Linked DNA regions of Stegostoma tigrinum. The protein of the gene in region 3 binds, or shares a complex with, the protein of the main gene of each other region. Links are inferred from orthologs where the notes say so. Each region holds a gene or a part of one and is shown on either strand. Other genes may lie near its edges.

What was found.
Region 1: the proteins of egln1a (region 3) and epas1b are in contact, whole or in part, in a crystal structure (PDB 7Q5X), measured with the Homo sapiens proteins. The link is inferred for Stegostoma tigrinum from reciprocal best matches to the Homo sapiens genes EGLN1 and EPAS1. Residues at the interface, in NP_071334.1 of Homo sapiens: Gln239, Leu240, Val241, Ser242, Lys244, Ile251, Arg252, Trp258, Asp277, Ile280, Arg281, Ile292, Asn293, Gly294, Arg295, Thr296, Lys297, Tyr310, Val311, Arg312, His313, Val314, Asp315, Pro317, Asn318, Asp320, Arg322, Arg370, Trp389, Tyr390; in NP_001421.2 of Homo sapiens: Asp525, Leu526, Glu527, Thr528, Leu529, Ala530, Pro531, Tyr532, Ile533, Pro534, Met535, Asp536, Gly537, Glu538, Asp539, Phe540, Gln541, Leu542.
Region 2: the proteins of egln1a (region 3) and hif1aa are in contact, whole or in part, in a crystal structure (PDB 3HQR), measured with the Homo sapiens proteins. The link is inferred for Stegostoma tigrinum from reciprocal best matches to the Homo sapiens genes EGLN1 and HIF1A. Residues at the interface, in NP_071334.1 of Homo sapiens: Gln239, Leu240, Val241, Ser242, Gln243, Lys244, Ile251, Arg252, Trp258, Lys262, Asp277, Ile280, Arg281, Ile292, Asn293, Gly294, Arg295, Thr296, Lys297, Tyr310, Val311, Arg312, His313, Val314, Asp315, Pro317, Asn318, Asp320, Arg322, Arg370; in NP_001521.1 of Homo sapiens: Leu559, Glu560, Met561, Leu562, Ala563, Pro564, Tyr565, Ile566, Pro567, Met568, Asp570, Asp571, Phe572, Gln573, Leu574.

What each region holds. Positions count from the first base shown.
Region 1 is NC_081362.1:68,837,978-68,847,783, reverse strand, and holds the start of epas1b (endothelial PAS domain-containing protein 1b), read left to right. Parts: upstream 1-5,673; 5' UTR 5,674-6,058; coding exon 6,059-6,084; intron 6,085-9,806.
Region 2 is NC_081363.1:29,392,333-29,401,958, reverse strand, and holds the start of hif1aa (hypoxia inducible factor 1 subunit alpha a), read left to right. Parts: upstream 1-4,881; coding exon 4,882-5,107; intron 5,108-9,626.
Region 3 is NC_081357.1:97,148,609-97,159,099, reverse strand, and holds the start of egln1a (prolyl hydroxylase EGLN3), read left to right. Parts: upstream 1-6,522; 5' UTR 6,523-7,002; coding exon 7,003-7,722; intron 7,723-10,491. UniProt on the Homo sapiens protein: Cellular oxygen sensor that catalyzes, under normoxic conditions, the post-translational formation of 4-hydroxyproline in hypoxia-inducible factor (HIF) alpha proteins.

The DNA.
Region 1 (9,806 bases), on a different chromosome or scaffold from region 3:
CTGGGTCAACATTCTGCCACTGCCTTCCGTACAGAACAATGGATTCACCTACTAAAAACAGCCAAAAGAACTGTGGATGCTGTAAATCAGGAACAAAAGCAAAGTTGTTGGGAAAGCTCAGCATCTATGAAGGAAAACAACAGAGTTAAAGATTTGGGTCTGGTGACCATTGCTCAGAAGTCTCAAAGGATCACTGGACCTGAAACATTAACTTGGATTCACCTACTAAATGGATTGTAATGATTCAAGAAACCAGCCCACTACCAGCCACTTCAAGGGCAATTAAGAATGGACAATACAGCCTGATCTTGCCAGCTATACTCATCTGCCGAGAATTAATTAAAAATGAAATGTTCCTGTACCTTGCATTGCCGTATTTAAAAGCACAGCTCAACAATTGAATAAACCTGTTACAGAGACTGCAGATGCTGGAGAATCGGTGATAACAAGGTGTAGAGCTGGGTGAACACAGCAGGCCAAGCTGCATCAAAGGAGCAGGAAAGCTGATGTTTTGGGTCGAGACCCTTCCGCAGAAATGGGGAAGGGGAAGGGAATTCAGAAATAAATAGGGAGAGAGGGGAAGGCAGATAGAAGACGGATAAAGGAGAAGATAGGTGGAGAGGAGACAGACAGGTCAAAGAGGTGGGGTTGAAGCCAGTGAAGGTGAATGTAGTTGGGCAGTCAGGGAAGGGATTGGTCAGTCCAGGAAGGATGAACAGTCAAGGAGACGGGATGAGATTAATTGGTAGGACATGGGGGTGGGGCTTGAGGTGGGAGGAATGGTTAGGGAGGCAGGAAAGAGCTGGCCTGGTTTTGGGATGTGGTCGGGGGAGGGGAGGTTTTGAAGCTTGTGAAGTCCACATTGATACCCTTGGGCTGCACGGCTCCCAAGCGAAATTTGAGATGCTGCTCTTGCAGCTTTCGGGTGGCATCATTGTGGCAATGCAGGAGGCCCAGAATGGACATGTCATCCAAGGAGTGGGAAGGGGAGTTGAAATGGTTCATGACTGCGACATGGAGTTGCTTGTTGTGAACCGAGCATAGATGTTCCGCAAAGCAGTTCCCAAGCACCTGCTTGGTTTCCCCAATGTAGAAGAGGTCACGACGGGAACAATGTATGCAGTATACCACATTAGCAGACAGGCGGGTGAGCATCTGTTTGAAGTGAAAGGTCTTTTTAGGGCCTGGGATGGGGGTGAGAGGGGAGGTGTAGGGGCAGGTGTAGCACTTCCTGCGGTTACAGGGAAAAGTGTTGGGGGTGTTGGGGCTGGAGGGGAGTATGGAGCGGACAAGGGAGTCATGGAGGGAGTGGTCCCTCCGGAAAACAGATAAGGGTGGGGAGGGAAAAATGTCTCATGTACCACCCCAACAACCTTCGAATCCAATGCATCATCCTTCGACACTGCCGTCATCTGCAATCTGACCCCACCACAAGACAATTTTCCCTCCCCACCTTTATCTGCTTTCTGGAGGGACCACTCTCTCCGGGACTCCCTTGTCCACTCCACACTCCCCTGCAGCCCCACCACACCCGGCACATTCCCCTGCAACCACAGGAAGTGCTACACCTGCCCCTACCCCTCCACTCTCAGCCCCAACCCAGGCCCTAAGTAGACCTTCCACATCAAACAGATGTTCACCTGCACATTTGCTAATGTGGCATACTATATCCGCTGTTCCTGTTGTGGCCTCTTCTACATTGGAGAAACCAAGTGACGGCTTGGGGACTGCTTTGCAGAACACCTATGCTCAGTTTGCAAAAAACAACTGCATTTCCCAGTCACGAACCATTTCAACTCCCCCTCCCACTCCTTGGATGACATGTCCATTCTGGGCCTCCTGCAGTGCCACAACAATGCCACCCGAAAGCTGCAGGAACAGCATCTCATTTTTCGCTTGACTGCCCTACAGCCCAAGGGCATCAATGTGGACTTCACAAGCTTCAAAATCTCCCCTCCCCCGACCGCATCCCAAAACAAGCCCAGCTTCAAAATCTCCCCTTCCCCCACCGCATCCCTAAACCAGCCCAGTTCATCCCCTCCCCCCACTGCACCACACAACCAGCCCAGCTCTTCCCCTCCACCCACTGCATCCCAAAACCAGTCCAACCTGTCGCTGCCTCCCTAACCTGTTCTTCCTCTCACCCATCCCTTCCTCCCACCCCAAGCCGCACCTCCATCTCCTACCTACTAACCTCATCCCAACTCCTTGACCTGTCTGTCTTCCCTGGACTGACCTATCCCCTCCCTACCTCCCCACCTATAATCTCCTCTCCACCTATCTTCTTTTCTCTCCATCTTCGGTCCGCCTCCCCCTCTCTTCCTATTTATTCCAGAATCCTCACCCCATCCCCCTCTCTGATGAAGGGTCTAGGCCCGAAACGTCAGCTTTTGTGCTCCTGAGATGCTGCTGGGCCTGCTGTGTTCATCCAGCCTCACATTTTATTATCTTAGATTCTCCAGCATCTGCAGTTGCCATTATCACCAGCTCATTCCTGCCTCCCTAACCTGTCCTTCCACGTCAATCTCCACCCCCATCTCCTACCCAGTAACCTCATCGCACCTCCTTGACCTGTCTGTCCTCTCTGGACCAACATATCCCCTCCCTAACTCCCCACCTACATTCACCTTTACTGGCTCCAACCCCACCTCTTTGACCTGTCTGTCTCCTCTACACCTATCCTCTCCTTTATCCATCTTCTATCCGCCACCCCCTCTCTCCCTGTTTATTTCAGAATCCCCTTCCCCTCCCCCATTTCTGAAGAAGGGTCTCGACCTGAAACACCAGCTTTCCTGCTCCTCTGATGCTGCTTTGCCAGCTGTGTTCATGCAGCTCTACACCTAGTTAGCTAAGTGAATAAACCTGACTTGTTTTCAGCACTAAACTCTGGTCTCTGCGTCTGAGAAATGATTGAGTCCTTGGCTTGCTTCAGCTTGTTACCCTGAGACACATGCTACAGCGAGGTCTGATGATCCAAGGAATACAAGTGTTTCCCAATACCTGAATGTATTTAGGCCATGAATATGTGAACGTTATTCACAAATACATGCATTTAAATGAAGAATTAAACTTTTCCTCAACATGCAGGAAGCAATTGTAACCTTGCAGTCAATGCTTTTAAAGGCCTAACTTCATGGTGGTATAGTTAATTCCTTTAATGTTCTTCTCCACACCTAAACTCTATGAAACATTTTCTGGGAATCCTTTAATTCCTGACACTAGTTTTCTTTCCACTATCCATATTGAGGAATCCTATAATTGAACTAAATCTTCACCTTACTGCAACTTGGGAAATAATTCTCAGTCGCTCATCTAAAAATAGCAGTATAACTGCAGCCATAACTTTGTCCTAGAAGCTATTAATAGATGATAAATCAAGATTTATATTATTAAAATTCCCATGATATATGAAGGGATTTCCCAGCTCTTAACTGTTTACTGGAACATTTTTTCCCAGAACTTCAATATTACAGCAGATCATTCAACAGTTACAATACAGATCCTCATTCAAATATTTTTACATACCCTTTCAGGGAGACTCAGTACATCTTTAACTGTTACACTTAATGCCCTTTGTTCTGAAGCACTTTAGTAGCTATCTGGGGAGAACCCAAAACCTTACAGAACAGGCCAAACTCAAAATGTGCCAATCTGCAGTCCTCACTATCCTCCATGAGGCACTGGCTCAAGTGTCCTAAACAGCCAACATGTACATCTTCCAGAGCACTTCGAACAGTGTTGCCTTCATGATATCCTCAGATCCATTAGCAGGACTGTATCAGAAACACTGAAATCCTGGAGACAGCCAGCATCACCAGAATTGAGGCTATCCTTCTGCAAAACCAACTTTGCATTGGTCATGTTGCCTGGATGGACAACAATTGATGGCATAAAATTAGGTTGTACAGAAAGCTATCCATTGTAGCAGGAACAGAAGGGCCCACTTACAACCATTTCTAGTACTGCGTGGGGAAGTCACAATCTATTTATCACACTGACTATTGCTAGTGGGTGGAGTGGGTCATAGATTGTGATGCCTAGACTTGCTTCATCAGGAATGCTACAGCCACCTTTGGAACTGAGCGTAGAATTACCAGGAAAGAGATAAAGAATAGATCCAATTGTCCCCAACAGTGACTACACATTCATTTGCATCTGTGTGGGAGAATTTGCTGGTCACAGATGAGACTGACGCCACCAGCGAATCTGTATCCAATGGATAGTCTTTCCTCACGAAAAATTGCCAAGCGACAGTGGACCTTTGTAAATCGGTCTCGGACTGCAAGTGCTTTGAACCTGAGTGGAAAACAATTCCAACGCAGAATACTTTCTAAAAATATTTCAAACGGATCTCAGAGCAAAGTTTTGGGAAGTAAAAACCGAAAGAAATACAGATGCTGTAAATCAGAAACAAGAACAGAGGTTGCTGGAAAATCTCAGCAGATCTCGCAGCATCTGTGCAGATAAAATCAGGGTTAACGTTTCGGGTCCGATGACCCTTGCCCAAACTCGGACCCGAAATATTAACGCCGATTTTCTCTTCACAGGTGCTGCCAGACCAGCTGAGCTTTTCCAGCAACTTCTGTTTTTGTTTCAAATATTTGATAAGCCTCTCTCTGGTGTAGGAAATATTCAGAGCAGTAGAATAAACCAGGTTGAATTTTGCTGAAATGAAAACCGAAGTATGTTTAGTTTGAAGACTACTAGGTATGTTTTGTTTATCAATTCCAACGCCACCGTTTTCATACTTATTGTGCTGGGAATAAAGTCTTTCAGTTATGTGGTTGGAGAAGTTGGGTTGATCTCCTTGGACAAAAGGTTGAGAGCACATTTGATAGAAATGCTGAAGATCATAAGTGATTAGAAATTACTGGCCAGAAAGGATAAAGAAAGAGGATACTGATTTAAGACAAATGACAATAAGGTCCAAAGTGACGTGAGGGCAATAATTTTTAATTCGCCAATTGGTGAGGACCTGGAATGCACGTCGAGAAATGTGATGAGGACAGATTTCGTTGGGGAATTAGATAAGCAGCTGAGGAGACGGAAGCAATGCAGGGGCAGTGGGGAGGAGCGGGGGCAGGAAGAAAGTGGAGCTGTTGTAGTAGGTTTGACAGAGGTCTAGCACGGAACCCACGGGCCGAATGGCTCTCTGCTGTGCTGTAACCAATCTTCAATTATATAGTATTTAAATACTGATTCTGCGCTGGTGATATTTTTTAAGGAGCACCGATGGGAAATATCTAGGGAGTTCTCTTAACTAGTGTGTTTAGAAAACGTTATCAATTGAGTGAGATCCTCATGAGATGAAGAAGCAACTGGAATCCATCCGAGGACCATGTTGTTTGGCAATTTTTTTATTCCCTTGTCTAGTTTACGTGTAGTCAGGCAATTTCGTCACTAGTATTTCTTTCCAAGGAAATCTTTTAACAGATAAGAACTTGTGAACAAAAAAAATTATGTAACAAGGATGGGTGCTCCTACCCCGTCCGCTCCCAACTGTTCCGGCAGAGAGAGTGGGGAAAAAAGCCCCAAAATGACCCAGATCGATGGGCGGGGCGGGGCCCGGCCGCAACCTATCGCATGTCGAAAATCCATTTACGACCTGTCATCTGGCCCAAGAAGGACGAGAGAGAGAGAGAAACCCCGCCTTCAGCCGAAGCTTGAACCTCCCGCCCCAGTACGAGAGTCTAACAGCGAAACTTTTTCTCCTGCCTGTCCTCTTTATAATTGGTCTTTGCCTCGAAGTGGCTGTACAATCCTCAGCAGTGTTCTGAGACTGTACGGTCGCCTCTCGTTTCCGGGTTGCTTCATGATCTCAACTGTTTGACCCAACTAGGCATTTAAAAAAAAAGAAACCCACATGAAGAGATAAGCGAGAGAGACTGACAAAGCAAAGAAAAAAAAGCTTCGTGAGCAAGGCAGAGAAAGTGGAAACAAAAAAAATCAAATTATGCTTCTTTCTATCCGTATTACACTGTAAAATTGAGCCTCCGGTTGTCAACAGCGCTTCTCGGTCTGTTTTTCTTTTGCTTCTGTGAACTTAATCGTCCAAACCATGACAGCAGAGAAGGAGAAGAAAAGGTAAGAAATGACATTGCATTTGTTCTGATGAAGTTAGCAATAATTTATTTCTGATAAGGTGCGGGCTGATTTTGTCCATATCATTAAAAAGTTCTTGAGGGACTGGACTCCACACCTCCGACATTCGGCGTAAGCTGACAGGAGACGGGAATAGACGAAATGATCAATAATTAACCGTTCTCCTTGTTTTTGATTGGGGCGCTCGGGCTGCGTTCTGAAGTGTTGACAGCTTGCCTGTCTCTCGGAGGCTATCAGCTGCTACCTGCCTGTAGACAGACCTGGCTCTGAGGGCCAGCAATGTTGGCAATACGTCCCTCAAAGCCTTCCCCAAGGGCAAAACCCAGAAGGGAAAAGTTGGCTCAAACTGAGCGAGTGGGCCTGCGCTGTTTAAATAGTGACCTATTGATCGATCAATGTTCTCCTTCACCTGTTTACATTGCCACTGCTGCGCAGTGTATCATCAACAGGCAGGCGAGGCCTGGCCGACAGACTAGAGGGGGCAACTCTGTGGTCGGGCATGTCATCTCCCCGATGGAGAACTCGTACCGAACAGCAACTTTATCGAGGTTATGAAGCTTTTGCTCCCGACTACTATGGTACATTTGCGGCTGCACTAAAAAAAAACCGACATTTCCCCTCCTTCCTCTCTTTCGAGAGAACCTTTGCATTTCGACAGAACACGGAATTTTACAGCAGGACTTTTATAATATAACGGTGTGTTGTTATTTGCAAGGAGAATAATACCCTCAGAAACTAGTCAGCCTGCAAATGGCTATTGCATTCATCTCCAAATGACTAGAGGTCGGCTGGAATTGAGTGTGACAACGCGCCCTGAACGACAGAAGCATCAGACAAGCCTCTGTACAGCCCACATCTGCTGAAGGTTCAACATTGGATAAAAGCAAAAACACAGACATGCAAAACAAAGGATGCATAGATTGCATCCAACACCCCCTCTCCCCAACCCCCGCTCGTGTCCTGGGCATTTGGAGAGAGCTGCTGGTTGCACCTAAGGAGTGACGTTGGGACAATTTGTTGGAGTTGGTGGCTCTGGGTAGTTTTGCTGAGTGAAATGGCGTCCCTGAGGTAGAAAGGACTCACATTGTCAAGGTGCGGCTAGCTACTGTTAATACTTGAGCGATTTCAACAGCAGCTTTACCGTCAGTGTGTGGGTGAAAGGCAGGGTCTGTCCTGAGGCTGGGTTAGAATCAGAAACAGATTAAATGCCAGTTGAAGTTAGACGTAAGCAGAATGTCGAATATGGTACTCTTAATTAAGGAGTTTGCCTGTCCAGAATTACTACTTCGTCGTGAGGGCGGAATCAGGAATGAGATTCACTGTTTGTGATGGCAGTTGACCTTAACCCAGTCCATGCAAGCCCAGTTGGTAGTTAGGAAGGCAAATGCAATGTTACCATTGAAGTGGGTTAGAATACAAGAGTAAAGATGTACTATTGAAGCTGTGCAAGGCTCTGGTCAGACTGCGTTTGGAATATTGTGAGCAGTTTTACTCCCCATACCTAATGAAGGATGTGCTGGTGGTTGAGGGGGTCGAGATGAGATTTACAAGAATCATTCCTGGGGATGAAGGTCTTGTCTTATGAGGAGCAGTTGATGTTTCTGGGTCTTTACATCATGGAGTTTAAAAGGATGGGGGTGGGGTGGGTGGGAACTTGGAGGGGGGATCGCTTATTGAAATTTACAGAATATTGAGAGGCCTGCATAGAATGAACGTGGAGAAGATATTTTCAGGAGTAGAAGAGAGTAGAAACCGAGAGCACAACCGCAGGGGATAGGCCTAAAGAGAAAACCTTTTAGAACTGAGATGAGTAGGAATTTCTTCAGACGAGAGGGTGGTGAATTTGTGGAACTCATTGTCACCAAAGGTTGTGGTGCTGAGTCATTGAGTGTATTTATGACAGCCATAGATAGTAAAGGGATCAAGGAAGGAAGACAGGAGAATGGGAACCAGAAACATATCTGCCGTGATCGAATGGTGAACCAGACTCACTTGGCAGACTGGCCTAATTCTGCTCCTATATCGAATGATCCTCGTCTTATAATGTGTTGACTATACCCCATTTACTAAGCATATCACAACGTTTTGAGGATACAATTTAAAACGGAAATTGGAACAATCATAATGAGAAATTACCTGACAAACGTATGCATTTGAAGAAGCTTCGCTATCCGTAATCTGGGTTGGAAAGCCTCTAAATATTGGGGAGCTGTGTTGCTGGGGTTTGGGTCGTGCCAATCTATTCCAAATAGATAAACCATGAGGAGCGCAATATGTCAACACATTTCTGATAACGCTGGTGTGCTGTTGATGTTTACTGAGTTATAGTCATATGTACAAGGCAACTTTTGTTTAGCCAATAGGCTTTTATTTATTTGACAGTTGCTGTTAGATTTTGCGTTATGAATTGAAAGGCTGTAAAGACTGACTTGTGTCCTCTGCGCATTCCTGACGAAATTCATATGTTCTCAGAGACTGGACAGTCCCGCTTCCAACATTATTTGTAAACGCTTCAATAAAACTGATTTCGAGTCGTGGCGGATTTTTTTTTAACAGGTCAGGACTAGTTTTGGCGTTCACAGAAGAGGGAGAGAGAGAGCAAACGAAACTTTCTCACACTGAGCAGGGACTGTGACTTTTTAGTTTGTTATCCTTTTCTGTTCGATGAGGGCTAATGCTTTCAGTGGCTTGGACAGCAGGTGGTTTATGTTTTGTTCTGTTTTATGCCGGGAAGACCGAACTCCGCAGTTACCTTTAAAGACGGCTGGTTCAGTGCAAGTTACAACACGTTATAACGCCGACATGAGTGATAGGACGATTGTAAGTGAATGTGTTGGGGCCGCTTAGCTCCGATGGTTCCGAGTGTGACAAAGAGTGATGACCGCGGCGTGGGTTCGCTCCCTGAATCGGCGCTTGTGTAGGGAGCCTCTCAAACCCTTATCCAACTCATTCAGTCTCTCTAATTGATAACGAAGACTGGCTAATGTGTCTCAGAGCAAACGGGCCTCAATGCCGGCGTTCAATACGAAGCATCCCCTTGAGAGATTTAAACCTAATTTGTGTTTACTTTCTGTTCAAAATAACTACAGAAATACCACGTCCTGCTTTTTTACATGTAGGAATCCAGAACAAAGTTAGCTAGCAGCAGGAACGCTTTTGGGGCGCTTTCTGACCATGATTCTGACTTTAAAAATCGATTTGAGTAATGAATATATGCAATCTGCAGGTTGTTTCCTTTGTAACACTTTCTACAGAACGCCCTTTGCTGACTCCTGCACACTTGACAACAGCCAAAAAATGGGTTTAAAGTCCAGCTTCATTATGTTTCCAGTCTTGAAAGTAAAGACACTACAGGTCCATTCTGACGTCCCCAAACTCCCCCACACCCCCCAACTCCCACTGACCCGGTGGGGTTCAGTGGACTGTGGGGTGACTAGAATGGTGTTTATTTTGCCTATCCCATGTAAAGGTGCCAAGTTGGAGCGCGTACACCTTACTGAAGTTTTATTATTTTACCACATACCTAACCTGCCACCATAGATGCACCAGAGATAATGGGAACTGCAGATGCTGGAGATTCCGAGATAATAAAATGTAAGGCTGGATGAACACAGCAGGCCAAGCAGTATCTCAGGAGCACAATCAGAGATGAAGGGTCTAGGCCCGAAACGTCAGCTTTTGTGCTCCTGAGATGCTGCTTGGCC
Region 2 (9,626 bases), on a different chromosome or scaffold from region 3:
GTTAGTATCATTCAAAATTATCACTTAAAGTGGTTTCCATTGGCAAAAGGGTCAAGAGCCAGAGATCTCAACGTGAGGTGTTTGACAAAAGACCCAACTGCAACATGAAAGTGTTTTTGTGCAGCGGGTGGTTGGGAACTTCAGGTGCACTGCCTACGTTTGTGGTAGAAGATACATTCTTAGCTGTCTAAAGTAAATCCGATAAGCACCTGGAGCTACGAGCAGGACGATGGACATTTATACTAGAAGTATAAATTTGGAAATGAATAGATCGATTAAAGTAATGAGCAAAAGATCATGTAAGAAAAAATGTCGCTTTCTGTGTCAATTTGAACACACAAATTTTGAGAACTGGACCAACAGTTTTCACTACCCTTTAAATATATCCAGGCTTGGGCTGATGTGAGGCAGGAATGTTATTTCCCATCTGACTGTCAGATATTGGCCATCTCTCCATGATATTTAATGGCATTACCAATGCCAAATTTGCCATTCAACATCCTGCAGGTTACCACTGATCAGAAACTGAACTGGATCAGCCATATGAATCAGTAGCCACAACGACACGAAAGAGCTACTTCCTCCGTCTCACCCTTGTCCATTCACCAACTGCAGAATAAAAGTTGCAGTTTTGGAAAGTGCTGTCAAAGTAGCCTTTAGAAGATGCTGAACTGCAACTTGTAGGTAGTACACACTGCTGTCAGTGCTGGAGAGTAAATATTTCAGGTGGTCGAACTGGTGTCAAACACCTCACCTGTTTTGACCTGAGTGGTAGCAAAGTTTGAATGCTGTTAAGTCCACCAATGACATTTTTTTTTTTCACAAAAACTCCGCGGTAGATTTCAACAAAATTTGGTAGAGAGAGAGAGTTCACTGGCCAAGGAGACACATTTTTAAATTTTGTTTGTTGATTTGAGCATCCATAGCTAGGACTGTTTTTATTGCCTCTGTCTAATAGCCCTGGAACAGAGTGCCTTGCAACTTGACTCAATTTAGCTTGGAAAAAATAGCATTGATGTAGATCTGGTGTCATGTGTAAGCCAGATGACACACATCCTTCTGAAAAGAAGTTTGTGTTTACAACCATCAACATGGTCACCATTTTGTCATCCGCTTTGTAGAACACCTACACTCAGTTCACAGTAAACAACTGCACCTCCCAGTCGCGAACCATTTCAACTCCCCTTCCCATTCCTTAGTCTACATGTCCATCCTGGGCCTCCTGCAGTGCCATAATGATGCCACTCGTAGGTTGCAGGAACAGCAACTCATATTCTCATAACTCACTTATAAGAAGGATGTGGAAGCTTTGGAAAGGGTGCAGGGGAGATTTACTAGGATGTTGCCTGGTACGGAGGGAAGGTCTTACGAGGAAAGGCTGAGGGACTTGAGGCTGTTTTCGTTAGAAGAAGGTTGAGAGGTGACTTAATTGAGACATATAAAATAATCAGAGGGTTAGATAGGGTGGATAGGGAGAGCCTTTTTCCTAGGATGGTGACAGCGAGCACGAGGGGGCATAGCTTTAAATTGAGGGGTGAAAGATATGGGACAGATGTCAGAGGTAGTTTATTTACTCAGAGTAGTAAGGAAATGGAACGCTTTGCCTGCAACGGTAGTAGATTCGCCAACTTTAGGTACATTTAAGTCGTCGTTGGACAAGCATATGGACGTACATGGAATAGTGTAGGTTAGATGGGCTTGAGATCGGTATGACAGGTCGGCACAACATCGAGGGCCAAAGGGCTCGTACTGTGCTGTAATGTTCTATGTTCTATGTTCCTCTTGGAAACCCTGCAGCCCAATGGTATCAATGTGGATTTCACCAGCTTCAAAATCTCCCCTCCCCCCACTGCATCCCAAAACCAGCCCTGCCTGCCTAACCTGTTCTTCCTCTCACCTATCCCCTCCTCCCACCTCAAGCCACACCTCCACTTTCTACCTACTAACCTCATCCTGCTCCCTTGACCTGTCCGTCCTCCCCGGATTGACTTATCCCCTCCCTACCTCCCCACCCATACTCTCCTCTCCACTTATCTTCTTTTCTCTCCATCTTCGGTCTGCCTCCCCCTCTCTCCCTATTTATTTCAGAATCCTCTCCCCATCCCCCTTTTCTGATGAAGGGTCTTGGCCCGGAACGTCAGCTTTTGTGCTCCTCAGATGCTGCTTGGCCTGCTGTGTTCATCCAGCCCCACACTTTGTTATGGTCACCATTTAACACAGCTATTTTTAATTCCAGGTTTATTGAGCTCAAATTTCACCATCTGCCACAGTAAGATTTTGAACGTGAGTTCCCAGATCATTAGATTGGAATAGTAATCCAAATAATAATAAGCTCCAGTGACATTAGCACTTTGCCACCAACTCACTTAGATGAGTTTTTTGGCAAAGATGCAGGTTCAGATCACAGATATTTTTTGGGCGTTTTGTAAACTTCGGGACATTGGGCAATTTCTAAATCAATCCACATTGTTCTTTTAAAAGAAGTTGTGCAGTGTAAGCACAGCTTTCAAGGTAGGTTGTTTAATACAGATTGCCCTACCAGTTAGGGAGCCTGGGACTTGAGAGAGTGCAATCTAAAAGTTGTGTTAAGTCAGTGAAGTCAACTTCTATGCAAGGTAGTAGAAGTTTGCAACTTGTATGAAAATTCATGCTAGATTACATGGATTAAGGTTGCCAATTTTGTTAGCCAAAGATAATGAGGGGTATTGGGCAAAGGCAGGGAATGGAGATGTGCTGCAGGTCATCTGTGATCTCATTAAATTATGGAACAGGCTGAAAGAGCGCATTTGTTTAATTCTGTTCTTAAGAATCTGCAGCAAATATAGATTATTCTACAGGAGAATTTTATTTGATGTTACTTCATTGCTTTAAAAAAATGTTACTGGTACACGTTAAATAAGCTATGGATTATTTTCAAAGTAACTCAGTTTTGTGACCCGGAAACCTTTGATCGGAAAGAAAAATAGTAAAGGAAACCTAAAGATACTCTGGTGTTGCAGCATTTCAAGAGAGGAAAACAATGTTAACATTTGAGATCTGAAACTTTGTATGTAATGCTCTCCTTACACTCTCTCCTTTGTGTTGCTCCAACTTTGCCTTTGTTTCTTTTAAGATTGAATAGTGCAAATATTGTAATAATGTTACAATCTAACTGTATAATTGAAATGTTAGTCTGGTATTCAGAAAGTATCCAGCTGTTCAAGTTAGGCAGGTGGCTCAGTATGCAATATTGATGATCTGCTTTTCGAATACCACTATAATTGTTGCAGTTGTTTTTCACAATAATAACCATAAACCGAGTACATGATTGAGGTTTTTCAAAAAAGGTTTTCATTTGGGATTGATATTTTTAAAACTTTTCATTTTAGCTGCTTTTCAGTATGTTTGATCTCACAAAAGAAATATTGTTTTGGTTTTGTTACAGTGTCATCTAGTGGTGAGTGTGGGTATTAAGGATTGCAATTGTCACAGCAATATCCTTAGCCTTGTCTTACCCCCGGCTCCTCGAACCACATGGATTTTGGCATGCCTTTATTTAGGCTACTGGAAATTGAATGTAAAATCTCGGTTAAGAAGAGGCCTTTAGCACTATGTAGCGCTAAACCCTGGGGAATCTAAATTTGTTAATGTGATCACTTTTTTCAGTTGAAATAAAAATCAAAGTTTACTTACTGAATTTAAACTATTAGAATACATGACTACATCTTTTTTTAAATTCATAATTGAGTTCATTTTTTTGACGAGCAGTGCAAAGACAGGAAGATCACCGGCCTGGTCAATTGTTGATTAATTGGTTGGGCTCTCTGAACTTGGGATGGCAGAAATCAGCTCAGGCTCTGTCTCCCGCTGTCTTTCCAGTGAACTTAGGGAAGTGTGTGTATTTGTACCTTTGAAACAGGTCATAAGTATTTTGGCAAATTAATGGGTTGGGTCCATTGGCAAGGATGAAATGTATCCACATGGATATAGGTTGAGTGTCTACATTCTCTCTCTCAGCTAAAACAATAGGCTCTAGCCCAAAGGCGTACTTGGAAGAAGCTGTCTTACTGACCTGGAAGGACTGGCTGACTGCTGAGCCACAATAATTGATGGACTTTGCTGAGGGTAACTACATACCTTTTAATCACTTGATTTTGTTTCATTGACTGCCGTAGGAGATAGAAAATTTTCAAATAATGGTTTTTCTTAACAAGGAGTTGCTTATTGATCTGAGAGATGAGTGTTGTAAAATGGGAAAAATTAGGAAAACATTCAATAGTTCAATTGACAATAGATTTTCAGGCTAATCCCAATCCCTGAATCTGACAGTTTTGACTTCAATGACTGAAGTTCTGTTATAAATAACAGTATGGTACCACGAACAGCTTTCTTCTGTATTTGCCTTCTGCGAGTAAAATAAAAATGAAGTATTTAATCAAATATTTGTCTGTCTGTTTATCTTTTCTTTCATATTGTATTAGATTGTATATTCCAAAAGTTGAATAACCATTTCAGTTCAGAGTACTATTCGGAGTTAAGATTCTTAACAGTGTTTCATGGGCAATCTCTAAAGTTTAAGACTTTACTTGTTAAAGATGCTGCATCAAAACGGTCAAGTCTTAGGAGCTCATTTATGTTACTCTGTTTTGAAGATTTATCTTTGTGGAGTCGTCAAGCAATACGCAATGCAGCCAATCTGAAGTTTATTTAAACACATCACTGTATTTTTTTTTGCCCTCTGCAAAATGTTAAGGTTTGGTATTTTTCCTGTTACTTCCTAAGCAGGGTTTGAGGTTGTTTTGTGCCTTGTGTGATTATTGGCAGTATTTGCCATATGTTCCCTGTTCTGGAATTGAATTTAAGGTGCACGTGAAGCTATTTGTTGCATTCTTGTTAGCTGACATGGCTTCTTACAGTTCTACTTTGAATACCAGCAGTGGTAGTTCCGAGAGAAGAAAGGAGAAGTCTCGTGATGCTGCGAGATTCCGAAGGGGCAAAGAGTCGGAGGTCTTCTATGAACTGGCTCGTGAACTCCCTCTTCCTCACAGTGTCACTTCTCATCTCGATAAAGCGTCTATCATGAGGCTAACTATCAGCTACTTGCGCATGAGAAAATTGCTTAATGCTGGTGAGTAATTTGTAGTAATTTAAAGTAGGTAGCATTTTTATATAAGTGACTAACAATTTAAACTAATTTACTGGCTGTGAAGCACTTTGGAATGTTCTGAGGACGTTTGAAAGATGAAGTATAAATACACAGCAATTTCTTTGTGCCCAAACTCTAATAGCTTTAGAACATTTACGTAGCTTTTCCATAAGTTGCCACAGATTTATTTTGCACCCAACATGGAAGGAAAGATTTGGCATGCCGTTTGTTAATTTTTTTTTGCTTCATAGGTCTCATTTCACTGAAACTGTGCCTCTGTACTAGCTACTTATTTCCAAACACGACATCATTTTATTTTATGCTAAGTGGAGAAATGCTGCAAATGTTTACAGTATTATTGGCTGGATTGTGGGACAGTGCTGATAATGAAGCTATTAGTCGCCGTTGCCTTCATTCCACTGAACTATGGAAATCCCAAAAGTTTCTGAGATTCTTTTCTAAAGGCCGTGTTGTTGAAACACCCCTCCTCCTCCTCACTACACAATAATGGGAATTACTTGAACTAACGAACATTTCCAGTTTTGCATTGTGCATCTTACTGTCAAAAACCCACAAAAATGTTATACCCTATGGCTACTCAAACTCTCTCATTGCTCCTGAGAAATAAAAAAATTGACATTCTAGACAAAAATTTAAGTAATAGCTATTTCATTTATATTTTTTCTTCCGGCTAACAGTTAAAATGAGTACAAATAAATACAACTTTGTTTTAACTGGCAAAATTCACAAATACTGTACTGAGATCTACTGTGATATGAGTATTTATGCTGTAAATAAATTATACCAGTGATGTAAACGTCCCCATCTTCACATTTCTCTGACTTAGCATGCATTTTTACATGGATTTTAGGAGGTGTGGTGATGTTTTGGTAGGCTTTTTTGAGGGATATTGATACTGGAACCTTTGCTTGGCCAGAATTTACTGCAGTTGTGTGCATGTCATGATTATCCAGAATATTTTATCACCCGACACTTGCCTAGTCCTATGGGTGCCACCTAACTAAAAGGTTTGCTGTATAAACAGTCAGTCATCTCAATATTTGAAAATTTAAAAGCATTGGAGATTGTATTTGCATGGGAATACTCAATCCCTTTGGTTGCTTACATGCTTGCTTACATCTCTGATACTGTAGATGAAGATATCCTATTTTTAAATCGTTGTCAGGAAAAGCAACAACCATACCAAAGATTTGCTGCATATTTGGAGTGGGATGGGTAGTGCAACTTGAGGTAAAGTGGCCTGAAGTGCTGCTGACTACCTAATTGAGGCCAATGTATCTGGTATTTTTTTAATATGCATTATAGTTTCAAATGTAATTGGATGCTTTCAGAATAAAGTTGTTGCTGAATCTTGATTCTATAAACAATTTTAAAATAACATACCCTATCTAAATACTTTAAGTGCAAGTTGTTCTGATTAATTATTATCATGTCTTAAACATTCAGGGTTTTTCATGTAGGTGGATGACAAAATGGCTACCATACCCAAGTAAACTAAACCTTGGTTAATGACTGTTGTTTTCAAAAGATGTAGCAGGGCTTAGAGATGGAATTCCATGAGTCTGTGGGTGGAGAGGTGAGGTCAGGTGTTTAAGGCACAGCGACCACTGGTGGGGGTGAAGAGAATGAGGGATGCATCAAACGATAGAGACCCTAGTTTAGGCCAATTCTGACCAGTTAGGATCAATAATGTTTGAATGGTATGTTGGCCTTCATTGCAAGAGATTTTTCAGTACAGGAACAGGTGTGTTGTTGCAGTTATTCAGGTCTTGGTGAAGCCACACTCAGAATATTGTGTGCAGTTTTGGTCTCCTTTTGAGGAAGGATGCTTTTACACTCGAGGGAGTGCAGCGAAGGTTTACCAGGTTGATTCCAAGAATGGTGTGTCTGATGTATGAGGAAAGATTGACTAGGTTGGGATTGTTTTTGCTGGAATTCAGACGAACGAGGTGAGGACATGGTAGATGTTCCCAATGACGGATTTGTCCAGAACTGGGGTCACCATCTGAGGATTCAGGATAGACCATTTAGGACAGAGATGAGGAGACAGTTCTTCACTCAAAGAGCGGTGAGCCTGTGGAATTAAAATAGTTGATGCCAAAACACTGAACGTATTCAAGAAGCAACGAGAGATAGCACTTGGGGCAAATGGGATCAAGTGTTACGGGGAGAAAGCAGAATTAGGCTGTTGAGTTGGACGAACAGCCATGATTGTGAAAAATGGCAGAGCAGGCTCAAGGGGCCAAATGGTCACCTCCTGCTCCTATGTTCTGTGTTTCTCTCCCTGACTTATGATTTTGGATCGCAGTTGTACTGTTACTTACTGTGATACAGGTGTACAATATATTACTGTTTATGAATTTTTAAAATTGAGGCTGATGTGATTTTGGTTTTGGTTAAAATGTTTCTTAAATAGACGTCCGAAAGTCATTGGAAAAGACACGAAGATGTAATTTTCAAGAACGCATGTAACTAAGTGCCTAACTAGATACCTGAGAGTTAATTAAAGTGTTTACAAAGTGGAGTCTTTTTTTTCTAAAGGGCGTTTAGGTAGGGCTTGTTGTTTTGAGTTCTGTTCAGAATCTGGCTTTAGTTCAGGAAACGAATTCTGTCTTAGAAGAATTTTCACATGCGAAGGTTCCAACCTGTAAGAATTCATGTATGAGTTTTCACACAGTCAGAACTGAAAGATGTTTGGGCTAACAGGGCTGGAAAGAAGCCTCTTGGCCATCCAAACTGGAAAAAGTTAAGTTTGACATGGAGGTGTCTGTTGGACTGGGGTGGACAAGGTCAGAAGTCACATGGCAGCAGGTTATTGTCCAACTGGTTTAATTGAAATCACAACTTTTTGGAGCACGACTCCTTTGTAAGGTGAAATGATGAGAAGCACACAGGCACAGAATTTATAGGCAGAGAAATCAAAAGATCATACAAATGGTGTGAGTGGTGTGTTGAGAAGCTCAATAGTATGTCTCTACAGGTGATCAAAAGTGTCAGACAATGTGAGTATAGTGTCAACAATTGAACAGCAAGTGAAGGGATGACTGATAATCCCTTTTATTGAGGCAGAGAGATAATTAGATAAGTTTAAAATGAGTTGATGCTGGAGACTTTCCAAATGGCTGGAATAACATGATCGGTAGAAGAGTCATATGCCAAGGGTCTAACCAAATTAACAAGTAGTCCAAAACTGTACAAACAATAGAGAGATCATAACTTGTTATCAAGGTGATGATATTACAAATACAGAATAGGATGGTGGGGTTACATGTAAGGCAGCATGAACCCAAGATCACAGTTGAGGCAGTCTTCATGAGTACGGAATTTGGCTATTGGTTTTTGCACTGTGATTCTATATTGTTATATATCGCGAAGGCTACCCTGGAGGATGCTTACCTGAATATCTTTTGACTGCTGAAGAGTTCCCCAACTGGGATGGAATGTTCCTGTTTGGTGATTGTTACGCAGTGTTCATTCATCTGTTGTCATACTGTCTGCATGTTCTTGCCAATATACCATGCGTCAGGGTCTCCTTGCCTGCAGTATATGAGGTAGATAACATTGGCAGCGTCACACGAGCATCTGCCATGAATGTGGTGGGTGTTGTTATCACGTGTGACACGAGTATCCTTGATCTCGCATGCCTTGCAGCGGTTGCTGTGGCAGGGGTGTGGTCTGTGTTGGCCTGAAGGCTAGATTGCTGTGAATGTTTATGGTTTGGCAGTAGTTTGAAGGGGAGAGGTTGACGTGTAGGGATGATCTTGGTAAGATGTTCATCATCAGTGACGAAGACAGTGGCAGGTTTCTCTGCTCTGGGGAAGTATAAGTCATCCCTTACCTTGTGACACTTCAGTAATGCCATCTGATACTTTTGATCACCTGCAGAGATGTTATTCAGACCACTGACACTCCACTCACACCATTTGTATGATATTTTGATCTCTCTGCCCGTAAATTCTGTGCCTGTGAGCTTCTCTTTTTATTTCACCTGACAAAGAAATAGTGCTCCAAAAGTTTGTGATTTCAAATAAACCTGTTGACAATAACCTGCTGCCGTTGACTTCTGAGCTTGTCCGCACCAGACCAACACTGACACCTCCATGTCAAACTTAACTCTTTCCAGTTTTAAAAATGGATAGTGATGAATTAGTGTTCAAGTGAACATTAAATTCCATGAGCCCTACGATTCAAAATTGCCCTTATTTTGGCTGATATCGTCTAAAGACAAATCAATGGCTCACTAATTTCAACAGTGATTTTACAACATGCAAAATAGTTTCCATTTATTATTTTTTGTTTTGTTCACTTCTGGGGTGTGGACATTACTGTCTGGGCCAGCATTTATTGCCTGTTCCTCGTTGCCCATGTAGTGTTGAGCAGTCCTTTTGCTGTTAGTAGACCCACAATGCCAATAAGAAGAGAATTCCAGGATTTTGACCCAATGACAGTGAAGAAACGCTGATTTATTTCCAAGTCAGGA
Region 3 (10,491 bases):
CAGTCTGTGACTGGGCTGTGCACTCTTGTGCAGCTCCTCAACTTCTCTTGGGATTTCCTCCACTGCCTCAACTAATCCCATTGGTTTAGCCTCTTTTACCCCATCCTTTTTCCCAGCACTTTCCTTAAACCTTATGTGCCCCACTCCACTACAGTGAAAACACCTGAGACCTTTCACCTTCTTTTTACCCTCTTGGGTTTCTTTTTTCACCTGTGGTAAACTATTCCCAGTATGATCCATTTTTTGTTATTCATTGATGGATCTCCCTTATTCTCAACTTCTATCCCTCTCAGAATTAAACTACTGTTGGAAGCCAAATTTCAATTTATGCATGTTCATCTGCCATCTCATCTCAGCAGCTCTTCTCTCAGTTTGAACTTTCTGTTCCTCAACATGAGTTCTTATCATTTCTGGAAGTGAGTTTTTTAAATTCCTCCAGCAGAACAACTTCTCTAAGACCCTAAAGTATCTTTTCTATCTTTTAATGCTCTCACACATCTATCAAAATTGCTACATGTAATTCTTTCAAGCTCGACATAAGTTTGACCTGTTTCCTTTCTTATATTTCCGAAGTGTTGTCTATATACTTCTGGTACTAATTCGTAGGCACTCAAAATAGCCCTTTTTGACTCCTTCATAGCCTCCTGACACGTCCTCTGGCAGTGCTGCAAACACTTCACTAGCCCTGCCTACCAACTTGGTCTGAATTAACATTATACACACAGTCGCTGACCTATTTATCTGCCTGGCCAATTTCTAAAAGGAAATAAAAAAAGCTTCTACATCATTTTCATCAAACATTGGTAATCATTGGGCATGTTTACATATATCCCTTCCAGACTGTTGGCTACGATAAGTTTGTTCATCCTCACTTCTATCTTGTACTTTTCCTTCTGCCATTAGAAATCTTTTTGCTTCTAGTTCCAGTTTTATCTTTTCCAACTCAAACATTCTTCTCCTTTCTTCCTTTCCCCCTCACTTTCTTTTTCCCTCTTTTCTCTCTCTCTTTTTCCCCCTCTCTCTTTTTGGTTTTCTTTGGCTAGTAATCTTTGCATGAGAAAAGGAAAGCATGCAAGCAAAGAATTCTAGGTGTTACAGAGAAAGAGAAGTTAAATGAAAGAAAATCCCTGATATTCATTTCATAAGTAACCAGTAACAATTTATTTTCTAACCCTAACAGTTAACAAATCAACAGAACTACTAACAAACCGAACAATTTCACCTAACTCCTAGCTCTTCCCCCACTGAACAAAATTCTACTGGTATACTATTCCAATAACACAAGTCCCACCTATATAACCCATGTAATTAAAGCAACTTAGTCTCTCAAAGTCCGCACAGACTATGTCTTCTGGAATGCTCTGCCTTCTCCACCATCTCTCCAGTCATGAATGCCTGTCTTCTGCTGTTCTCAAGTCATAAATGCCTTTCTTCCACTGATCCTGCTGTCAGAGATGTTTTGTCTGTGAATCGTTCCAAGAGGACTTTTAGCTAGAAGTGCCATGCTAGTTTTTTTGGATAAATGGCATTTTCTTTTACAAAGAGCTTAGAGATTTCTGTGAGAGTTTTCTGTTTATTTCTCAGATGATAGTCTTCTCTCACCTGAATTTGAAAACCCTCTTCTCATATATCTTGGATGACACATCAATATTCATACAATGGCATTGGCCCAAGGTTGTCAAAACCATCAGATTTAAATTTAATAGGTTTTCAATTGCTCAGTGCTTAGTTTAAATTAATTGGCTGTTTCAAGCTAGTTGCCAGAACATCAAAACAAGCTGAAGGTTTCCAAACACAGTGCCAATTGATATGATTCAACTTCAGAAATGTCTGTACATCTTCAGCTACTTACAGACTTTTATTTCTGTGTAAATCTCTAAGCTTAGAAAAGCATTTTATCTCTTAAGAGAACCATGCACCATTTCTTCCGGTCATTTTTACAAACAAATTCTAAATTTTTGTGTTCTATTTCATGAGTACTTTATGCAACTTTGTGACATAGGTAATCCAAGATGAAGGATTGAAAAAAAAGTGACTGTACAAGCTGCTCCTTTCTTGAGCTATTTTCAGTGTTGAAGCTGATTTCCCTAAATGTTTAGAGCAGTAATTACTGTGTTATAAGCTGTTGCATTGTTTTGGAACTTTGGGAAAAAGAGATCAAAACAACAGCACTTTATAAAAGGAGGAAGAGAGAGAGAGAGCAGATACCACATGGGATATGTCATAATGAGCAGTAAACCTGCACAGCTGTGTGACCCAGCATTAAATCTGAATAGCTGACTGCTTTTGCTGTTTTGTAACAAGACCTCTAGACTTTGGAGTTTGTTTGAAGAAAAATAAACAAACAGTGAAATTCACAGCTGACATTGGAGAAACCTGCATGGGGAGCTCACAGCAGAAGAGCAGCTAAGTGGCTTATGTTTTGACATCTGCATTGGTTAGGCCACTTTTGGATTTCTACATTAATTCTGGTCTCCCTGTTACAGGAAGGATATTGTGAAACTTGAAAGGGCTCAGAAAATATTTACAAAAATGTTGCCAGGGTTGAAGGGTTTGAGCTGTATGGAGAGCCCAAAAGGCTGGAAAATTGAGGCTGAGGGGTGACCTTATAGAAGTTTTTAAAATCATGATGGGCATAGATAGGGTGAATAGCCATTGTCTTTTCCCTGGGATAGCAGTGTCCAAAACTAGAAGGCATAGGTTTAAGGTGAGAGGAAAGATTTAAAAAGGACCTAATTGGCAAATTTTTCATACAGAGGGTGGTGTGCGTATGGAATGAATTGCCAGAGGAAGTGGTGGAGGCTGGTTCAATTACAACATAGCCTCTGGATGGCTATATGAATAGGTAGGGGTTTGGAGAGATATGGGCCAAATGCTGGCAAATGGGATTATATTAACTTCGGATATCTGGTCAGCATGGATGGGTTGGACTGAAGTTTCACAGCTCTATGACTCCACGCAGGCAAATATAAGTAATTTATTTAGGAGGGCTACTGGTACTATCTTTAGCCTTTTGCTCTGGCCACAAAGGGACTTAAGGGTACTTGTGCATGAAACACAGAAAGATAGCATACAGGTGTAGTGGATAATCAGTAAGGCTAATGGAATGTTGGCCTTTATTTCAAGGGGCTTGGATTATTGGAATAGGGAAGACTTTCTGAAACCTTACAACATGCTGATAAGACTATATCTGGGGTACTGTGAGACGTTTTGGTCTCCATATTTATGGAAAAATGTCATCTCATTGTCGGCAATTCAGAGAAGGTTTACTAGGATGCTCTCTGGTACGGAAGGATTGTCTTATGGTCAAATGTTAAACTGGGAGCTCTACTCAATGGAATTTATATGAATGAGACATGATCTCATTGAAACAGGTAGGATTTTTAAGAGCCTTGACAGGTGGCACACAGGGCAGTGGCCCCTGTCGCCTGAAAGTGGTGGTGCTTGGACCCGACAGCATGCAGTAGTTAGAAGATGTTCCGGTGTATGGTGGAATCCTGTCTACGCGCACCTCAGCTCAGTCACATTTCACATTAGCCCCAGGGTCCTAACCATCTCTCAGGAGTCTGTACCTCTCAACCTGAGGTGACTTTTGGGAATGCGTTCCATGTACTTTTGTCTCATGTAGAGTTGCTTTTTTGTACAGCCTGCTGCAGCACACCATTCACTTTGACTCCTTTGTCCTCTGCCTGGACATGTCTTAGATCCCGAGTGGAGAGCTCCTTATGTCAGTGCCCTCTCCTGTTCCATTGGGGTCCTGGAGTGGAGGATGTTGCAGGCAAACAGTCCCATGCAACTACAGATTGCGGAAATTCATGGACTTTCAGCCTGTTTATTTGCCATGCTGTGGTATATATGAATCATATATATATATTAGTTGTGGGCATTTGCATTCCCTTTTATTTATTTGAAAAATCTTTTGTTATGTTATTGGTTGCACATCAACTCCATGCCCCTGATCTTTAGGCATCTGGTATGGAGGGATGTGGGCAAGTCAGAGGACCTTGTCATGGACCCACTCCTGGACCTGGCCTAGCTAGCTATTAACGGGTCCAGATAGTGGATTGCAGAAGGGATTTTCTGCTGACTGCCTGCTCCTCTCATGTAGCTACATTTGTGTCCGGGTGTCCTTGGAGAGGGAGCATGTGGTGTCCACCAATACTCTTAATGCTTTTAGAGAGGTGGGCACCACTAGATGTAGAGTACATTCTTTCCACCTCCAATCCTTCCCACTCTCTCTAACCTTCTGATAGTTTACATTTCCTGTAAATATTTAATTGGCCACGTGTGATTTACTGGTAGTGGTTAGAGGTTAAAAATAAAGTCACGGTGATTTGGTGATAGGTAAAAAATACACAACCATGGAAAGTCTAAGACCAGAGGGTTTTTAGTCTCAGATTAAAGATTAGATTTAGATTTATTGTCACACGTATATGAAAATACAGTGGAGCGTGTTTTTCATGTGCTACATGCAAAGTCATCACTGTAGAAGTGCAGTGTAATTTGAAATGCTGAATATAACATAAGATTTTACAGCAAAAGAATTCATCTTTCTCTTTTGTTCTTGTTTTTCCTCTGCTGCTCCTCCAGTTGCTGCTTGATATCTACCAGGTCTCTGAAATGGGCTCCAGGATCCCTCTAACAGTCTCCGGGGTCTCAGTTACAGGCCTCTGCCACTGCAACTCCCATGACCTCTGCATCTGAGTTGGAGCCACAGGCCTGGGGGTGCATGGGTTCTGTACTTACTACTCCTCCAGCGTGGCCATTGTCTGTCCATTTGCCAATGCTTCCACTCGTTTCATGACCTGGACCTAGCTGCGGCCCTGAAACCTTAGCTCAGCCTGTGATTCTGGGCCAAGGCAGTCAGTCCAGGACCTGTTTTTTGCTTGCTGAGTGACCCCGGGCTGGGATGGAGCCATGTCTGGCTCGTCCTGGCATTGCTGCTGGTGGCCTCTTTCTTCACCTTCGTCACTCTCAAGTCTTTAAAGAACATGAAGAGAAAAGAAAAAGGAACAAGAGAAAAAACAAAAAGAGAAAGAAAGCAGATGGTAACAGACGAGTCCCAGGCTCAGCCCTGTACTCCACCACCATCTTGAAAATAAATGGGACACATTTAAGACTGAAATGGTTTCTTCCCTCAGAATCAAATTCAAAAGTCGCTGGAAAATCTTAGCAGGTCTGGCAGCATCTGTGAAGGAAAAATCAAGAGTTAACTTTTTGAGTCAGAACTCTCAGAAGGTTGTGTCTTTGGAACTCCTTGCCACAGAGAGATGTGGGACCAGAGTCCTCACGTATATTTAAGGCTGAGATAGATTCTTGATCAGTAAGGAAATCGAGTGTTATGGGATAAAGGTAGGAAAGTGGACGTCAGGAATGTTGGTTCAGCCGTGACCCTATTGAATGGTACAGCAGGTTCAAGGGACCCATTGGCCTACTTCTGTTCCTATTTATTTATGGTCTAAATATGCCATAGCACACATTCATCATTTTCGAGCTCAAACAGAAAGAAATTGCTGGGGAAAGTTCATCAGGTGTGGCAGCATCTTTAGGAGAAAGAGATTACGAGAGAGGTTCAGTGGGAGAGACATCCACTGAGGTTTTTCCAGAGGGAGGAGGGTAACTTCTTCAGGGTAGGCATCCTTAGAAGTTGCATTGGTGGTTCAGTGGTATAATTCTGGCCTGCCATGTGGGAGGCCTGGGTTTGATTTCCAGCAATAAATGGCAGCATCTTTCCTCTTTTTTGTCATCATTTTCTATGCCAGTTTTAACCCACAGCAACTATTATCTCAGGTTTTCAACGATACAAATGACAGATTAGACTTAATATATGACTGTTTTTTATTACTACAGGGTCACTTTTGATTGACATAAGAATACAATGGATTAGTTTGAATCATTTTGTGTTGTCTTTTTCCAGTCTTGTTTATTTTTGTCATGTGATTTGTTCCTCATTTATAAACCTCTATACGGTACTACAGTATATGTTCAAAACAGTTTATTAAAAAAACAGAAACAAAGCTCTGTGGTAGAGTGGAGGACTGGTTAAACAGGATTGTAACGTTTCATCGGTGGCCTTTAGTCAAGTTCTGATGAATGTCTCTGATCTGAAACTTGTAACTGTTTTGCTGATCCGCAGAACGTTGCCTGACGGATTGGCTCTTTCCAGCATTTCCCACTAACGGCAACACTGACTTTAAGGGATGACAACTGAACAAGAAACAGAAATCGCACACACAGATATCGTACCGGACGAATATAAAGGGGTGCTAGAAGAGAGTGAACAAGATGCACCGCCGGAACTCGGATTTCCAAAAAAAATGGAAGGAGCCGGCGAGATCAGGATAAAACGATGTCCACTGAATAAACAAGCAGCCAGGGTACTGCGGTGATTGCGATCCAGCTGCCGCGGCAGTGCATGTCGAAGTGGAATGCAAGGTTTCGATTTGGGGTATTTAACGAAGTGACGAAAACCAGTGGCTCCGCCTGTCCTATACTGGAGGCGAACCGAGCAAGACATAGAAAGAGGGAGGAATTGAAAGTGAGGACGTAACATAAGATGGACATGTTTCAGCTGATGATGGATCAGTGTGAGAAAGCCCGCAAAGAGTTTCTGGTGCAAGCATTAGACACTAAAACAGGAGCAGGAGACGGGAGGGGGAGAAATCAAATTCGATACCTTTCACGCATACGCCCACCTGCTGGAAATCTCGCTAACGCGAAGAGTGCGCGAGACCTCAGCGGTTAGCATTTGAATCCTGCTCGCGGGCGGAGGTGGTTCGTCGTGCACGCGCAAGCGCGGGCAAGGTGGGGGGGGGCGGAGGGAAGAAAGTCAGTTTCATTACTGTTGGAGGACATTTGCTCTTCTTTCCATCATCCCTTTTCGATCCTCGTCTTAATTCCCCCCCCCCTTCCTCTCCCTCCATCCATTGCTATTGAATTTACCTAGGTTTACCCCCCTACTTCTCCTTTTCCCCCCACCCCACCCCCTTCCCCGTCCCGGACATGGCTAGCGAGAGTAGTCCGACGCATGAATCTCCGCCACTGCCGCCGACCGTAGAGCAGGATCAGAGCTGTGGCCTATGCGGCAAAATGGAGAAATTATTGCTCTGCGGGGGCTGCAAAAGATCGTTCTACTGCAGCAAAGAGCACCAGAAAATGGACTGGAAAAAACACAAGCAGGTCTGTAAAGAGGCGGCGAGACGACAGGGCGACGACACGCGAAATGCTTCGGCGAACAGTAACCACCATCCGCCGCTGCCGAAGCCCCTGTCACCAGCTTCGGTCAACGGACAGCCGGCGGAGAAGAATGAAGAGGCGACAACGGCTTCCCATCTGGTACCCGGGGCTGGCATCAGTAGCCGGAGTCACCGGGGCCAGCACGGATTGAGCGGCGGCAGCTCCCAGAAACTGGTGCAGGAGTACATCGTGCCATGTATGAGCAAGCACGGCATCTGCGTGGTGGACAACTTCCTGGGAGAGGAGATGGGCGACAGTGTGCTGAGGGAGGTAAAGGAACTGCGCCGGAGCGGCCGGTTCACCGATGGCCAGGTGGTCAATCAGAGAGGGGACTCATCGAGAGACATCCGGGGTGACCAGATCACCTGGATGGATGGGAAGGAGTCCGGTTGTACGCAGATTGGGCTCTTAATGAACAGCATGGACGATCTGATCAGGCACTGCAACGGGAAACTCGGCAGTTATAATATTAACGGCAGGACGAAAGTGAGTACGCCAAAGTTCGGGTTTATGGTCTAATTTTATCCTTTATATTCAATGAAACTTGTAGCATGACTCTTGTATCCCGCAGTAATATCGCCAATACTGTCGCCATTCATTTTTTCCCTGTCTTTCACTTTTTCTTTTAAAAATAATTTATTAATTAATTACGAATGCCCTTGACATATGGCGTTTCTGCAGTTTAGCCAAATTAATGTTTCTACCGTGAGGCTAGCCATTCTTGATATTTTGTATTCGCGATATACAGGTGTTAGTTTTCTTAAACGCTTACCTCCTTTAGGAACTTTGATTTGTACAACTCGACCTCCCAGTGTAAAGTATATTTAAATTCAGAGTTTGCTGCCCGCATATTATAGGAGTTGGTTGTAGAACATAAGTTGTAATCTTCTACCCTGGTTGCAATCTGACATTCAGTTGTTGACATCAATGCCACCTGGCACCCTGAGGTGAATCTCTGACCTCATCCTCTCCATTGTTTGAATGCCAACTTGCACCACTTTCACATTGCTCAGTTTAATTTCTGCCTCTTCCATCTACTTTTGAAATTCATTCACACATTGTCCCTTCACAATTATAGAACATTACAGCACAGTACAGGCCCTTCGGCCCTCGATGTTGTGCTGACCTGTCATACCGATCTGAAGCCCACCTAACCTACAACTCCCCCTGAGGTTGGAGTGGTCTTGTGGCCACTTTCAGAGAGCTATGGATATGAACCCCAAGATCCCTCTGTACATCTATGCTGTTCCAGGGTTCTGCTGTTTCCTAAATATATGATCTCCCAAAATGCAGCACCTCACACTTACCTGAATTAAACTCCATCTGCCAATTTTCCCTGCTATATCTGCTACTGATCTATATCTCACTGTAACAATTTATTAACTAATTTACGTATTTGATGCTTTGGAGCCAATCTTAAAATTTAAGAACCATGGAACTAGCCATTCTTGGTATAATCTATGCAAGATGTTTGTTTTTATGTGCCAGCCTCTGTCATTGTTACAACACCCCTTCAAGTGTGAGGTATGCTTAAATTCAGGAATCATTGCACAAATACTTTAGAAGTTGGTTGTACAACAGAACTTCTAATTCTTTTTCAAATGGATTTCATCACTGTTAGTTATTATCTTCTACAACTCAGTTTTGGAGAGACAATGGCTCAGTGGTGTTAATGTTTGGCTATTAAACCAGGGAGCCAGGAAACGTTCTGGGGACCTGTTTGAATCCTGCCATGACATTTTGAAGGGATTTGAATTAAACTAAAGCTGAAATTGAGTCTAATGAGGATTGTGTAACTGTTATCTATTGTTGGAAAAACCTATCTGGTTCACTGCCCTTTTTGGGAAGGAAACTGCCCTCATTGTCTGACCTACATGTAACTTTGACCCACTGCAATGTAGTTGACTCACAACTGCCCTTTGGGCAACTAGGGATGGCCAGTAAATGCTGGCTTAGCCAAGAATACAATTAAATGACTTAAGAAAAATAATTACTCCTTTGGAAGACTTCACATTCTCCATCTTCCATAAGCTTCAATTAATCCAAAACTGATTCTAATACTGCACAGGCTTTGCTCAGCCTTTGTCGCAATGGCTCCATTTTGTGACAGCATTGCATTTTGATCCCTTCATTCCCTTGTTGTTCTGATGTAAATGTTCTTCTCCAACTCTGATTTTTGCTTAGTTCAGTGGTTATCGTCATCTTTCTCGGCCTCCATCTATGGGATGAAGAGGTCAGGTGATATTAGGTTGAAAAATAATGCTTCAAGCCTCATTCTTTTTAAATGATTCATAATTCTGTGGGAGTTGCAGAGAGATAGAAAGAGTGCCACTTTAGCTCGAGAAACAAACCAGTTGGAAGCGTGAGGATTGTTAAGAGGAATGATACCTAGCAATGTTGTAAAATGTCTAAATGTGCTTGAATCTTATTGGAACACTTGTTTCCACAGTTTGGTATCCTGAGAATGAACACTTGTGACTGGCATTGTAGATAGTGTTCCTTACTTAGGGATTGACTGAAAAAACAATATCTGTCGTGCACAAAAAAGTGTATACTTTCTGGCTTAAACCTACAGTGCTAATCTACAGAATGCCTTATCCAAAAAGTATGTGCAATTTATGTAGAAATTATTTGGTTTTTAATATTTTTATAATCAGTTGTTAATATCTTTTTTCAAAGAACTCTGAGTTATATTCAGTAAAGCCGTTCAGTACAAAATGTACTTTTGCAGTATCTGTGGTAGTTGATAAGCATAAATAATTCAGTTGTCCACCATGCGTTGACCTGGTCATGTAGATTCTTTTGTGCATTCCATTGTACACTGAATGTAGTGCTGAGATAAGAGAATAAATGTTATATTCTTCATTTCAACCAGCTTGTAAACTCTTACGGATGGATAGTTGACATCTGCTAATGTTAACACATGGTGCAGAATTGGAAACACATTTTAACTTGGCTAAGTTTGTACAATATTCAGGTACTCAACTGTTTACTGACTTGCTGTAAATAAAAGCAAAATGCAGTGGATGCTGGAAATATGAAATTTAAAAAAAAATGCAACTCCAGCTCTGGCAGCTTCTGGGGAGAGAGAAACAGACAACAATTTGACTCTGTTATGACTCTGTCACTTCTGTACTGAAATGTATTTTAAGTGGAGGACAGGAGAGATTAAATAATAGTGTCATTATGCAAAGCCAAAGAAGTTTTAGTATTCGAATAAGTAAACAAATAAAAAATGTAGTTGGAGAGGTGTGA